3 linked regions of the Saccharomyces cerevisiae S288C genome follow. Changing the gene in region 2 together with the main gene of any one other region gives a genetic interaction. Each region holds a gene or a part of one and is shown on either strand. Other genes may lie near its edges.

Region 1 (5,216 bases), on a different chromosome or scaffold from region 2:
TCCATCCAGTCCAACTCTTTCTGCATTTCCCTATATTCTTCAGAATCTCTCCAAATGGCAAAATAATCTTGACTAGCGTGAGTTCCTGGTGCAGCACCTACTATTTCTAACATCCATTCGGCTGGATTGGCATCTGGTGGGCATTTATGGGCACCATGAGCTTCGAAATAGTTAATCATTGTTTTGCAACCTTTCCCTAGCTCTCCAAAATATACAGTTTGTCCGCCCTCTTGCAAAAATAGTAACCTATCAAACTCTTGCATTAAGAGAGCAGAAGGTTGATGAATGGTACATAAAATTGCTTGTCCGCGACTAGCCAATTTCTTCATTAATTGACAAGTTGACCATGCAGTTTGGGAATCAAGCCCAGACGTGGGCTCATCTAAAAATACCAACAGTTTTGGTTTGGCAGCTAACTCCACACCTATGGTTAACCTTTTTCTTTGTTCCACATTTAAACCTTCACCAGGAACGCCTACTATGGCATCAGCATAAAGTTTCATCTCCAATACCTCAATGACTTCTTCAACGTATTTATCTTTCTCCTCGATGGATACATCATCGGCTTGACGCAGGTACGCGGAAAACCTTAATGACTCTCTCACAGTTGCGGTTTTCAAATGCAAATCCTGCTGCTGACAATAACCAATTGATCTGGGGAAAGACTGGTCCCGCGGTCTACCATCTACGAATACATCACCAGTGATTAAACCCATCGTGGTTCTCTCGGCAAGACAATCTAATAACGTTGTTTTTCCTGCACCAGATGCGCCAATCAAGGCAGTTAGTGTACCAGGCTTGACCCAACCATCAACATTATCCAAAATTCTCCTCTTCCCATTCTTAATCGGGATATCGTAGCATAAGTTTTTCCAATGAAAAATCGCTTGTGATTTGGACAATTCAATGTCATCACTTTTACTAAAACTATTGCTTTGAGACGCAGAAGATGAAGGAGATGAATAATGCTCCTTGGCGACAGTTTTATCGTTACCCATTATAGCTGCATCAGAATCGCGTAAAAATCTTGAATCAGTCGCACTTGAATTGTTGTTCATCTCTACATCTTTCTCAGCATCAGATGTTGACAACGTTGGTTGGTTTTTCTTTTTCTTCTCAGAGACAATACCCTTCTTCTTCATCTTTTTAACCACACTATGGGGAAATACTAACATCTCACCATTTTGCTTTGCTCCTTCATTGTATTCACAAAAGAATAAATACAGAAATAAGAAAAAAATAATGTATGCTAAACCAATACCAACAGACCGCCATTTGTTCTTATGTCGATAGCCGTAGTTCGTTTGAATGAAATCATCACCACTTACATAATTATTTCCTGGGATAGAACCGAGGGCGGAGCAGGTGACTTCGTCACCTGTTGCGTTGACATAATTTGGCCCACTAGGTATATACTGAGCACATGGGAAATTTCTACCATGAAATTCGTTAATCATTAGCGATTCAAAAAGGTAAGACAATGGGTTGATATAAGAAATCCATTTTGACCAGCCAAGCATTTGGACTCTTGGGATGGCAAACCCAGTGTACATTGCAAAAGCTAACAGAAGAACAGATGCGGGAACCATTGCCTGAGGTAAAGTTTTCGACACTGAGCCAATGCATCTGAACAAATGCGACATAGCAAAAACTGTTATAATGTTTATTAAAAAGTAAAAGAAAAAAGCACCGGCATCTCTTTTTAGATTGATTAAAAAATAATATGGTATGTTGAAAGTTACTGCCGTGGCTAATTTTGTTGGAACATCAGAAAATGTAGAGGCGAAGGCATCAGCACTTGGGCGATATAACGAGTAAGTCTTGTGCTTTTCGGTAATGGGCCTCGTCTCATAGAGTGAAAAGATCTCTAAAAGTGATGAGAACGCATTGAACAGAATAGCAAAAAAAATAGCCGCGCCTCGGTAATAAAAGGTTGTTGTGGTAGTGGAAAGCATGACTTCATAAAACATTGATCCCAAGATAAGAGCCATTGCTGCATGACTCAAAACCGTGAAAAGTTGAATACTTGGGTCATTCTTAATCCTCCATATATCCCTGATTAGAATATACTTAACTTGCAAAAAGAAACTTACTGTATAAGGAGAGGAGGGCCGTGCTCTCTTAGATTGTTTGGCAATATGTGCATTTTTTATTTGTTCTCTTTGCTGGGAAGAGTCTGTATCTAAATGTTTGTTCACCTGCACCTGTAATTGTTTGTATTCCTCTGATTGAATCCAGTACTGGTTCATTTCATAGGCCGTTTGTGGGATCATAATTCCATGTTTGACCATGTCTTTGTCCTTAATTCTTTCAGAAGGACTAGTAATAGAGGTCAAATAATCTGCTGTGGTCTGCCTTTCGGGACACACATATCCCATTCTTTGAAAGTACTTTTTGGCCTGCTTACTTGGGCCAAAGAAGATTTGGTAACCATCGTAAAGAACACAGACTTTATCGAACAAATCATAGGCATCTTTAGAACATTGGTAAATGGCCACAGTGGCTGCAGACTTTGTGATAGTGGCTTGCGTTTTCAAGGCCTTGATGAACTCCAGCGCGGTAGCAGAATCTAAGCCCCTCGTGGCATTATCCCAGCACTGAAACTTCGAGCCACATATAGACACTTCAGCAATGGAAACTCTTTTCCTTTCTCCCCCGGATACACCACGAACAAAATCATTACCCACTTTTGTATCTGCAGTGTGGCTCAGTCCGTAAGTTGCCATTGCCACTTCAGTCATGTGTTTGGCAAATGTGTCCCTATCGACACCCTTGATTCGGTTCCTTGGTGTCTTCAGTCTTGCCACTGTGTATAAAGTTTGGAATACTGTCAAGTGCGGGATGTGAATGTCTGATTCTGCATTGTAGACCACTTCACCACGGTAATGGTTTTTGATCTCTTTGTTGGAGAATCCATTGTACGTGATGATTGTGTCCGGAGAAATCTTGAATCCGTGTGTATTTACAGATATAGATTTCAGCAGCGTAGTACATCCTGCACCGGGTCGTCCAAGCACAACAAGTAGTTCCCCCGGATTGATGCATCCGTCCATCGGCTTCAAAATTTGGAAACCGGAGTCATTATCTTCACTCTTGCCATGTGTCCGGTGGAAAAGACGTCGGGATATGCACCTCCAACTCATTTTCAAGTATTTGATGGGCATATTACCAAATGTTCCCTGATATGTTATATCGGCAGAATCACCGGAGGCACTCAAATCTTTCCAGGCGCAACCTAATGAAAACGGTTTATAGAAATCCGAATCATTCTCGCATATTTGTGCCATATTTCGTACCCATCTGACACTCGAGAAATTTTCTGATCGAGGATCCAATGTCTCATCGTAGTCTGGATCATTGACGTCCAAAAGGATTGGGTTAACTCCCTTGATATCACTAGCGAAAATTGACCGGCTCAATGACGATGAAGAAGCAGCAGTTAGTGTATTCGGGTCGCCAGTGCCGGTAATACGCTTTTCTTGCGATAAAAGGGAAGATTGGCTCGTCAGCGTTCTTGCCAATTCTTTTATTTCTTCTTGAGCTGCCGCGTCGAGGCCTTCGTACGGCTGTGTTTCGTTAGGTGGGCCGTCCGGCGCAGCATTTCCTTGATTCAAACCCGAGTTTGAACTTGAGGGCGCTTGCAACATCCTAACAACTATGTAAGACCAGAAATTATTGTTTGATTTTTCTACTATACCGGAAACGTTTACTAAGTATAGAAATATAATAACGCTAGATATCTTCTATGGTTCTGTCACGGGGAGAGATAAGAAAGTAAGATGCTTGCCCAACCGTCCTTCCTTATATACTTACATAAGGCGCACTATGTGGGGAAAACCTATCAAATTATTGGTACTGATGACAGCAGGTGTATTATTAATACGAACAAAATAAAAATATGCCGACCAATTCTGTAGTAGTACTGTACTATATTGAATATTAAGGGTTTTTCTGGTCTTAGCGTATCCCTTTATCAGTCCGTGGAACAAAGCCACGGGCGGCTGTAACAATGACCATGGAATCATTCAGTCGCCCTAAAAGCGCATTCCACGGAGCGTTTATAGTGATCTTGGTCACATGATATACGCGTGACTTTTTTTTTATTTTTTCTCCCTGTCTTCCGCAAAAGTGGCTCAAAATTCTTCGGATTTTGGCATTATAGCGCGAATGGTGCAGCGCAACCAAACAAACACCAGTTGTCGCACCCAAAAGATGCAAAAGCGGGGAGCCAGTTAGTTTTCCTTCAAGTTTTGGTTGAAACAGCCTTTAATATTTTATAGAAAGGTAAACTATCTGCTCAGTGAATAGTATCTGTAAGTCAGGCATACATTCGAAACACTTCCAAATACAAAATAAGAACGCGCAACGATGTCGTCATCAGTGCCATACGATCCATATGTGCCTCCAGAGGAGAGTAACTCAGGCGCAAACCCAAATTCCCAAAACAAGACTGCTGCTTTGAGACAAGAGATTGATGACACGGTGGGAATAATGAGAGATAATATCAACAAGGTTGCTGAACGTGGTGAAAGGCTAACATCCATTGAGGACAAAGCTGATAACTTGGCTATCTCCGCACAAGGATTCAAGAGAGGCGCCAACAGGGTCAGAAAGCAAATGTGGTGGAAAGATCTAAAAATGAGAATGTGTTTATTCTTAGTTGTTATTATTTTACTAGTGGTAATTATCGTTCCTATCGTCGTCCATTTCAGCTAACGCTCATCGGTTCCCGATGCTAATTCTAAAAAATATATACAGTAGTCATAATAGTAATAATAATATAATCATAATTTATAAATTCAGTAAGAAGCAAAATGTAGTTTAATATAGTGTACACTAATACGGCGCGCGGTTAATATCTTCCATAATATCGATTTCATTATCATACTATTGACAAATACTTCTATTATTAATTAACTATGTAGTTTCATTTTTTTTTTTCTCTTTTTTTGTCATTTCTTTTTTTAGCATTCATGTACAATTTTGTTTCTCGCGCCATCAGTTTTAGTGGCCGTCTTGAACGACTTGTTGGGCAACAAGGTCAACTATTCTCTTAGTTGAGGGCAAGGATAACCACGCTGGTATATAGGCTTCTACTTGGTCAAATTTTCTTGTCTTTATCAAACTGAATGGGTCAGTAAATGGACCTGTTTCTGGAGTGATAAATATACTGCTGCTATGCTCGTGACCCTTAGAATCATTACCTGATGAAGATA
Region 2 (4,206 bases):
ACTTGTCGAATACAGTTCGAAGTTCCAAATCATATCAAGAAATCTACTTATGTTTATTACCGCCTAACAAATTTCAATCAAAACTATAGAGAATATGTGCAATCTCTTGACCTAGACCAATTAAAAGGAAAAGCATTGATCGGAAATGATCTGGATCCAAACTGTGACCCTTTAAGGACGGTAGAAAATAAGACCATATTCCCCTGTGGATTGATAGCAAATTCGATGTTCAATGATACATTCGGCACAACACTTACTGGTGTAAACGATACTGCAGATTATTTGCTTACCACAAAAGGTATTGCGTGGGACACCGACAGCCACAGATATGGAAAGACCGAATACAATGCATCCGATATCGTACCGCCCCCAAATTGGGCCAAGTTATTTCCCAATGGCTACACTGACGATAACATTCCAGACCTACAAAACTGGGAACAGTTCAAAATATGGATGAGAACTGCTGCATTGCCCAACTTCTATAAGCTAGCAATGAAAAATGAGACCAATGGGTTAGGTAAGGGTATTTACATTGCTGATATAGAACTCAACTACCCAGTAAGATCTTTCTATGGAACAAAATCTTTTGTATTAACCACAAACAGTATTATCGGTGCTGGAAACGAGGCATTAGGGATTGTTTATTTGATTGTTGCCGGGATTGCAACTCTTTTCGCCATACTATTCCTGATAAAAGTCATCTTCAAACCAAGACCTATGCATGATCATAGCTACCTAAATTTTGAGAACAGCGATACCCCATTCGATGAGAGTAGTGTCGTTAGTATTCCATTGAGAGAAATTTTATGATTGATTATCATTTACTATAAAATCCCTGCGTTTGATTCGGTCTCTAGGGAAGCGTTGTAATTTCATGTATATTCAAAATAAGGACGAGGTTATATACCATACTATATTATCTCCTTGCATTCTGTATCAAACACTTTATTCAGTACATATACGATACCTATATATTCATTAAATGTTCTTTTCGCTTTATTTCAGCAAGGTATAGTGCTATTTAAAATCCATAATCGTTATTGCGTCTCTTTAGTCTGTCCTTCATTGCCATTACTCCACTACTTGCGTCTGGTGGCGGCGTTGGCGTGCTGGAGGTGTTGAAACTGTTCGACGTTTTACTTCGACCGAGACTTGCCCTGAATTCTTGGCCTGCTGAAGGTCTAGTCGGCCGTGATGAAGCTCTTCTCGGTGTCGCGCTAGAGGAGCTTGTATGATTATTGTATATATCTTGAAACGATTTACTCGCAGGCGTGTACTCCGGTGTGTTCCCGTTTGAAGAAGGTGTACCCATAGGATCTTCTGAAGAAGCCTTCCTTCTGTTAGAAAAGGATGGCGAGAAATGACGCGAGTTTTGCTTCTTCATATCATGCTTCACTTGAGTATCTAATATTTTACGTTCGTTCGGTAAATCTTCCTTCTCCCCCAACCATCCTGGGAACCCCTGGAAAGGATGCTGATTTTCATAGAATTTCACAAGCCCTTTATGGACCAATGTAGTATTTACAGTATCACCATCTTTTTCTGCTTTAATGGATAAATGTGCCAACGATGTAGATAACGATTTGGTTGACGACTTAAACTTGTTCCAAAATCGCCCGGATCCTTCTTGGGAATGCGATACTTGACTCATCATATGCGTGAAATCTTAGTTATACTGGTAGTTGGTATTAGGGCCTAGCGTCTAATAGTTAGTTGGCGTTTTATTTTTTTGCACCTTTCCTAATAGTATTAATCTCTAAAAGTGAAAAACTCCTAAGAGTCTTTACGAGCTCATTTAATACGTTCTGATCAGAAGCAAGACTATAAAATGCAATAGCCAATACTTTTTAGACTAAAGGTAGACGACTTACTAGCGGTTCAAGCTTCAGGAACTACACTCTCAATTACGTTCTAGTCCATTTTGTCCCTCTTTCCGGTTTTTTTTTTTTTACGTTTCCTTATGAAAGTATAAGTAATACTAAAGAAAGATTTATAAAGTGCCGTTACTGTTACGTATGATAAACCTTTTGATACATTTCTTCTTATTTAAGCCACTGTCTTTTCCTTTAGATAGATGCCGTACTTGTCCTTTAGTTCTTTCATGATTGGATCATTAATCTCTGGTGAGTATGGCGCTAGTAAGCCTGGTCCCTTGATTGTACCATCTAAGACGAATTTCGTTGCAATGGCAACTGGATAACCAACAGTAGCGGCCATAGAACTGTAACCACCAACCTTACCATAGTCAACTAAAGTGGATGTTCTTGTTTCGGTAGTTCCATCAGCCCATTCAATACCGAATTTGTGTTGTAGTACAACCATATCTCTTTCATTGTCTTCATATTGCATTAGTTCTTCTAAACGTGCACATAGAGTGTCTAAAGCATTACCTCTTGGTGTGATCTTTGCGTCAGAGAACAAGCCTAACCAAGCAAACCCGGAAAGGATTCTTTCTCTATCTTCATCATCTTTCCAAGTAGCCTTTGAGTCAATGGAAGCAATCAAATCTTCTTTAGAAGTAGACTTGGCACCTAAATATTGTTTTAGTGCTTCGTTCCAGGCAATTGGCTTGCTGAAGATTTCGTTAGCATCATCCTTCAACATACCCATGTCAACTAAAGCCTTAACAAATTCTGGGAAACCTTGATATCTCAAAGTACCTCTAATGACCGTTTCGGCTTCTGGAATATGATAAAGATCCTTGAAAAGGGTAGAGTCTCTATTTGGGTAGCAAACGAATGCATAACCTGGGTAGATGAAGTAAGGCTTAGCAGTGGCCATTAAGTCTTCGGAAGAAACAGTTTCAATCTTTCCGTCTTTCCAGTATTTAGCAGAGTTTCTTAAAGCCAGTAGCACACCTCTGGAGGACCATGAAAATTTGTATCCTAATGGATTATCAGAGTCTTCAGGAGCTGGTAAACCACCACAGTATGACAAGAATGACTTTAGCTTACCACCAGCTCTGTGAACTTCATCAATAGTCTTGACCGCATACAAGTGGTCGATACCTGGATCCAACCCAATTTCGTTCATAACTGTAATACCTGCCTTTACGATTTCTGGTTCCAATTCTCTTAAGGCAGGTGAGATGTAAGAGGAAGTGACGACATCGGTCTTTGTTCTGATGGCGCTCTTTACCACATTTGGATGGAAGGTGTATGGAATCAAAGAGATGACAACATCGTTATCAGCCAGAACTTTGTCTAAGGCACTGTCATCGGTAACATCCAATGAAATAGCCTTGGATCCAGAGGGCTTGGCCAATGCTTGCGCATTGGCTAATGTTCTACATGCGACAGTGACATTGATGTCATCATTAGCAGCCAATGTGTCGATAACAGGTTGTGCAACAAAACCAGATCCTAGCAACAAAACGTTCTTTCCCATATTAAAATATATAATACGTTAATATAACTCAATTGTCCTGATAAGTTTTCCCTACTGCCTAAGGATCCTTCCCATGTAATTTTACCAGGACCCTACGGTTTATATACCATTAAGCCAAATTCTGTGCTACTTTCTATCATCTATTGCTGATAATTCCATTGGAAATTCTCAATACCCTTTATTGACATCTTTATTTTTCACTACAAAGCGAATTTTTCCAACGGAATTTCGATTCCAGAGTATGAGTAATTCTTTTCACTACTAAACGCATTGCTTCGTGGTCAGTAGTAACCGCAATCACACTCTTCACTTCTGTTGTGGTGAATATCAAAAGAAACAAGAGATCATCCACAATTTCCTCAGCTTGACTTGTCTGCAGTTGCGATTAAAATTTGACTTTTGCTCCACCGCTCTCTACAGGTATTATATTTGGAAATCATCAAATGATGGGAATCCCCTACGTGGCACTTAGATACGATACATAAGACTCTTGCATATGTAGCTACCAACGTGGGAAAACCTTTCAAGTAACAGTTTGTTTGCTCTTAGCAACTTCTAGCCCTAATGAAAAAAAATGAAAAATAATTGCCAGCTTTTCCCCGCGACTTTTCAAAATCGGTATAAAAGCAAGTCGAAAATCAGTCAAAAAACTTTTCTCTCTTGATTGCTTATTGCAATCTCACTTGTTTTTTCCTTGATTTTACTTTCAATTTAGTTTACAATATCATGGGACTTTATCTCCATGACTATGCCATTTCTAGGTAGCCTATGGTAAACGAATCCCGTAGATTATTCACACGTTTGTTGTCTTTGTTGACA
Region 3 (5,453 bases), on a different chromosome or scaffold from region 2:
GAGTGATTATGCAACCATACAGGAACCTTACATAAGCGCAAGTAGTTGAATAGTGGATTCAAGAAGCAAAACTTTACTACCGGTAAAAACATTAGAACGAAATAAAAGTGCTGAATCTTAAAAGTAAAATATATACTTGGATAAGAATTCCCAGGGAAACTGGGAACCTCGTTTTCCTGTTGCACTATTTTTTAGATTCTTTCTTGATTTTTTACCAATCGCCTGATGAAAATACCTTCCAGAGCAGAGAACAACAGTAGAAGTATGCTGAAAAAGTTAGTGTGAGAAGTTTGAATTGTTTAGATAATATAAAAGTGACATCTAATATGACTAATATAAAAATAGTAAGTATGGTAATCAAAAAAAGATACAAACAATGTATATATATAAAGGAAAAATAACCTGCGAATATTGAGAAAAAGGGAAAAAAGAATCAAGCGATTTATAGCTCTAATTCCAGTTCACGATTAATTCTCAAAGAAGCAAAAATCTTCTTTTCTTCAACAGCAATTTGATTTAGAACTGTTTCCGCTCCCACTATTGATGCTAATATTGCCCTCTTTACCGTTACCGACGCCAACAAGCTTGTTACTGTCGATTTTTTCTTGGATTAACTTCGCCAAGGTGAAAAAAATCTCGTTGACATTGTCATCGTTCTTAGCACTGGACTCGATGAATGGTATACCCAGCTCCTTAGCCAAGGCTTCACCTTGATCAGCTGTTACCACTCTCGTCTCCATATCGCTCTTGTTACCAACCAACAGTAGCTGTGCTTCATCGTTCGCATGCTCATTAACGGTTTTAAACCATTGCTTGATATTAGTAAATGTTCTCTCGTCTGTCACATCATATACAAGAATGATACCCATAGCACCACGATAATACGCTGTGGTGATTGTCCGGAAACGTTCTTGACCAGCGGTATCCCAAAGTTGCAGCTTTACCTTCTTACCGTTGATATCGACAGTCTTTATTTTGAAATCAATACCAATGGTGGTGATAAATGACGGGTTAAATTTGTCTTCAACAAAACGAACCAATAAACATGATTTCCCAACACCAGAATCACCAATCAATAAAATTTTCATAATAGAGTCATAGCTCTTTCCATTACCGGATGAAGCAGAAACAGTTCTCAAGCCTGACATGTTTATCTTGTTATGTTTATATTCTTTCTGGTGAACGATACGCCCTCGTGTATATACAGTATGTCTACTTTTTCTCCTTTTCTTATTCTTCCAAAAAAAAAAGTTCCTAGTTTATTTTCTTGGAATTGCAATAGGTTGGAATAATGGATCACTAAAAGACAAGCTATAGTGGGTAATTCAAGTTTCCAGCTTCCCTAGAGGTAGAATGCTTTGTTTGGTATAACGTTTCCCTGCCGTTGATCATTCTCAGTGGTGAACTTCCAGTTTTCCTCAAAATTGATTTATTACCCGGCACGCAGCCGTGATCATAGTTACACTAACAACTTACTTTTAGAGTAAAACTAATCAGCAGATAGCTCCAGCTATTTGTTTAGATGTACATATATGTCTAGATATGTGCTTAATATCCTATACTAATATGAATCAGGCATAGTAACTTCTCCATAGGACACCCTCCAGGTCTTCCAGTTCCTCCGTATTGAAAGATGCTCTATCGAACTTCCAAGTGTCGGCCCTCACCTTCTTGAACTCACTAATAGTATTTTTGGCAGCTTGTCCAGTCATACCACTAGTCCTGGCCCACGAGGATAAGTTGCTTAGTTGCTTGGGTATCCATGGCGGTAGGGGAAAAACATAGGGGAACGCTGATATAATAGCTCCCAAACCCAAAACGTTACCATGAATCTTGATATCCGTTTTGGATAACTTTTGTCTTTCTTTCGACGTGTATTTGTTGACGTCGAGACCCTTTGCAAATCTCTCGATTAAACTCAACAACGGCTGTTCCTCTTTCCAGTTATGGACGATATCAGACAAAATGGATGCCGCACGAACTCTCACCTCTACAAACTGTTCGTTATACAAATTGCTGACAACAAATTCCAAAATTTTGTTCTTTTCTTCCTCAGTAAGTTGAAGCAGTTCCGCTGATAAAAAGTGTTGGATGAAAGCTAGCTGTAGTTTCGTTTGGTTTGAAGATAGTGCTACATTTGACGAACAAACATAGTCAACAATGGCGGCAACATGGTTCTTTCTGATCGGCATATAGCCCAAGCCGGCATACAATCGAACAGGATCTAAACTGGCAAGAGCACAAACATCTTTATGTTTCACTAATCCGATCAGAAATGGTAAAACATAATCGACTAAATATGGAACTAACAAAACTTTATTAGGCCCTCTCGCCATTTCTTTGATCCAATAAAATATTGTGGATGTCCTGTAAAAATAGTCTGTCTTAATAAATTGTTGAGGATTCAGGCCGACAACGGAATCTTCCAGATTTTTAATGATCTCAAACTGCTTCTTAATATAGGCATCCACCTTTTCTGGGACGCTTTTTAATGGTAACCCTAATCCATCTGGATCATTCCGTTCTGCTTCTAATAATGTGGTTGGATCTGAAATTGACGGATTACTTTGATTTTGAACTAAGGTCGTCAATAGTTTAGCGACAGCCTGGCGAACCTGATCGTATGGGTGATCAAATACCAACTCATCAAATAGCTTACCAACATCTGGGGCTCTAAATTCCATGCTCATCAAGATACTTCTTAGCATGTAAATTTTGGAGGTTTGATGTGTGGCTGCATCAGATTCACGGTCAAACATGCCATCGGCGTTGATAAAATGGCAAAAAAAAGTTTTAGACCTTCTTAAATCAACGACTGCAGGCAACCACCATGCCAAGGTGCTCCAAATTTCAAATGCGTCATGGTTCAACTCATAATCTAAACATTTGGCTAGGAAGTTTTCGATAAAAGTGTCACGTTTGTCCAAGTCAGAGACTGACATAAACTTACTCCCGCAAACTAAGCCAGCCACTATCTCGACAGACATGATCATCGAAGCCTTATCGTCTTTGTTATAGTAGGATTCACATAGCTCAAAGAGATCCGACATATTCAGTTCGCAGAAACCAGATGATATCAAAAGGATTACTAAAGAGAAAAATGACACGTTACCACTACTAAAAACACCCCTAGTTTCATTATCTTGGACTAAATTCATTGTAACATCTCTCAGGAATTCTCTTGTCAATAGATGACCAGCTGTCTTGAGGACTTCCAGTTCATTCTCACGTAAATTGAGCTTTAAAGCTTTCGGCGACATGACGTACATAAGCCTTCCCCAACATAGCCACCCTACATACGCCCTCAAATCGATAAAATACTTGGGGTTATCAAAGTTATTCATTTCTTCAGTAAACGTTTTAGGGAAGCTTGTGGTCGAAGTGTCCAGTATTTCCACAAATGATGGATTGAATTCATTCTTATAGGCCCTGGTGATGTCATATTCATAGTCAGAGAGAGATATTATCTTGTTGCACGTCGACAACAATGACTTTACAACCAAATGTATGATTTCGGGATGTTTTGTGGAGATTTGGGAGATTATTGAAAATACTGCTCTTTTATCGGGTTTGCTTTCGAGGTTCGATTGGATTTGTGTAACAAAACGTAAAATGAACATTCTTATCTTCCACCCCATATCTTTTTCATTATCTAATTTGTCTAAAAGTTTGTCCTGCAAATCCACTAACAGAGAGAGGTAGTACTCACGCTTTTTCTTTTTGGCAAGCTTTACCGCTTCAACTTGCAAATTAATAGTACCATCAGGAGGTGCTAAAGGTAAGAAAGCTTGATCGGAAATGACACATACACTAGAAGGAATCTTGATCCCAATCACTATGTCAGTTAAGATTTTATCTGCATACATACCAATCTCTAATTCATTCACACGACAACATTCAATAAGCAGAAATATCAATCTGCCGATGTCTTTATAATCCGTCATAAGCTTCCTATGGATTTTCTTAATTAACAAAACATTTAAAATAACTTGGATTTTCATATAATCATGATCCTTAATCGCTTTCTCTAATGATGGAATAATTTTATTGATGACTACGCCATATGACCCAACTAATTGTTTCATACAGTGTACCAAAGTTCCCTGTGCTGGTTTATAAATATCAGGATAAAGGGATGTCGCTAACTGTATGATGTCAACTAACAATAGGTTTTCCAGCTTGGAAGCTTTTCTATTTGTTGAATGTAATAGAACTCTACTCTGGTGCAAACTGTTTGCTCTGATTGCAAAATTGGTTCTCGTGAAGGGCTCATTTACGTGTGAGAGAGATTGAACGTTTTCTAGGAAATCAACGTCAATGAAGGCATTTGGGTCTTCATTGAAGACCGTTTCTTGTCCCAGATCTGTGAACCAAACTTTCAATCCGTGCAATAGAATTTGGAACATGTTGGTGTTGTTTTCGAAGTTTGTAGATAAAAAAACATAGAGTTTGTGAAAGAAATGTCCAATGCGCGCTCTAACTCTGTGGACTTGTAAATATTGTGGGTTTTGTAACTTCTCCTCAGTGGTATTTCCGAAGTAATAATTACAGGTGTAAATATCTAAATCCCTGAAAGCTAGATCCGAACTCATAGCTGAATTGTCCGTGCCATGCGTCCCCGCGATAGGGGTATTTACACCAGATGGCATCTCAGACACTACTTCTTCATCAACAATTAATTCATCCGGAAACTCATCTCTTAACTGCACAACATCGGAAACTCCTGCATTCAGCCCTGCTTCAATGTCCTTACTCTCAATATAGTCTTCATCATCCTTGCCAGAACGAATTTGTTCAATATCAATATCCAGTTCTTGAGGGTCACAATTATTTTCGCGTATATTCTTTAATAAAATCAGTTTCTCTCTGTATGATAAGTTTGATTGCGTCCTATATTTGTTAAAATCTGGATCAAAAAGTAAACTTGACCCGGAAAGCGTATGTGTCATAACTAAAACATATTTTTGTATCATATCGCCATATTCGGAATCATGTCTTGGAGCTTTCATCAGTTCTTCTACGTTGTTAATACAGTATTCGGAAAGGCTTTCTAGAATGCTTATGGATAAAGTTATCTCGTCACTAGAAGGTACGTGCCACTGAAAACTCAAATGCTGTTTATCAAATCTTCGAGGATCGAACTGTAGTCCTCCCCATCTGTCTTTTTCCGGAATCTTAGAGTCCTCTGGGAATAGACGACAATCAGTTATTTCGGTTGTACATAGAGTTGCTAAAGCACTGTGAATAACAATAGATGTGATAACATCCAATGGCGGGTTAGTGACGTTGTCGTATAAATATTTCATGAATGTTATCAACTCATCGCTATACTCCAATAGAGATTCATGACATTGCCTTAAGACATCATTTAGTGCAGTTAAGTATAAAACTAACTTAACATCCCTCTGTTGAATCTCTGAAGTACTTCTTACAGACCCGGCGCCTCTTTTGAT

Evidence for each region.
Region 1: mutations in MSO1 (region 2) and SNC2 together harm fitness more than expected from each alone (negative genetic interaction), as found in Saccharomyces cerevisiae (3 studies listed by BioGRID).
Region 3: mutations in MSO1 (region 2) and SEC4 together harm fitness more than expected from each alone (negative genetic interaction), as found in Saccharomyces cerevisiae (5 studies listed by BioGRID, with this or other methods).

What each region holds. Positions count from the first base shown.
Region 1 is NC_001147.6:930,234-935,449, reverse strand, and holds SNC2 (SNAP receptor SNC2), read left to right. Parts: upstream 1-4,368; coding exon 4,369-4,716; downstream 4,717-5,216. Other genes in the region: ATP-binding cassette multidrug transporter PDR10, read right to left, coding at 1-3,647; MYO2 (myosin 2), read right to left, coding at 5,005-5,216. UniProt on the Saccharomyces cerevisiae protein: SNC1 and SNC2 are vesicle-targeting proteins essential for normal secretory traffic between the Golgi and the plasma membrane. They may also be involved in vesicle fusion.
Region 2 is NC_001146.8:712,002-716,207, forward strand, and holds MSO1 (Mso1p), read right to left. Parts: upstream 1,655-4,206; coding exon 1,022-1,654; downstream 1-1,021. Other genes in the region: YNR048W (putative aminophospholipid translocase regulatory protein), read left to right, coding at 1-810; LYS9 (saccharopine dehydrogenase (NADP+, L-glutamate-forming)), read right to left, coding at 2,047-3,387. UniProt on the Saccharomyces cerevisiae protein: Involved in secretion. Component of the secretory vesicle docking complex.
Region 3 is NC_001138.5:126,029-131,481, reverse strand, and holds SEC4 (Rab family GTPase SEC4), read right to left. Parts: upstream 1,149-5,453; coding exon 501-1,148; downstream 1-500. Other genes in the region: proteasome activator BLM10, read right to left, coding at 1,572-5,453. UniProt on the Saccharomyces cerevisiae protein: Involved in exocytosis. Maybe by regulating the binding and fusion of secretory vesicles with the cell surface. The GTP-bound form of SEC4 may interact with an effector, thereby stimulating its activity and leading to exocytotic fusion.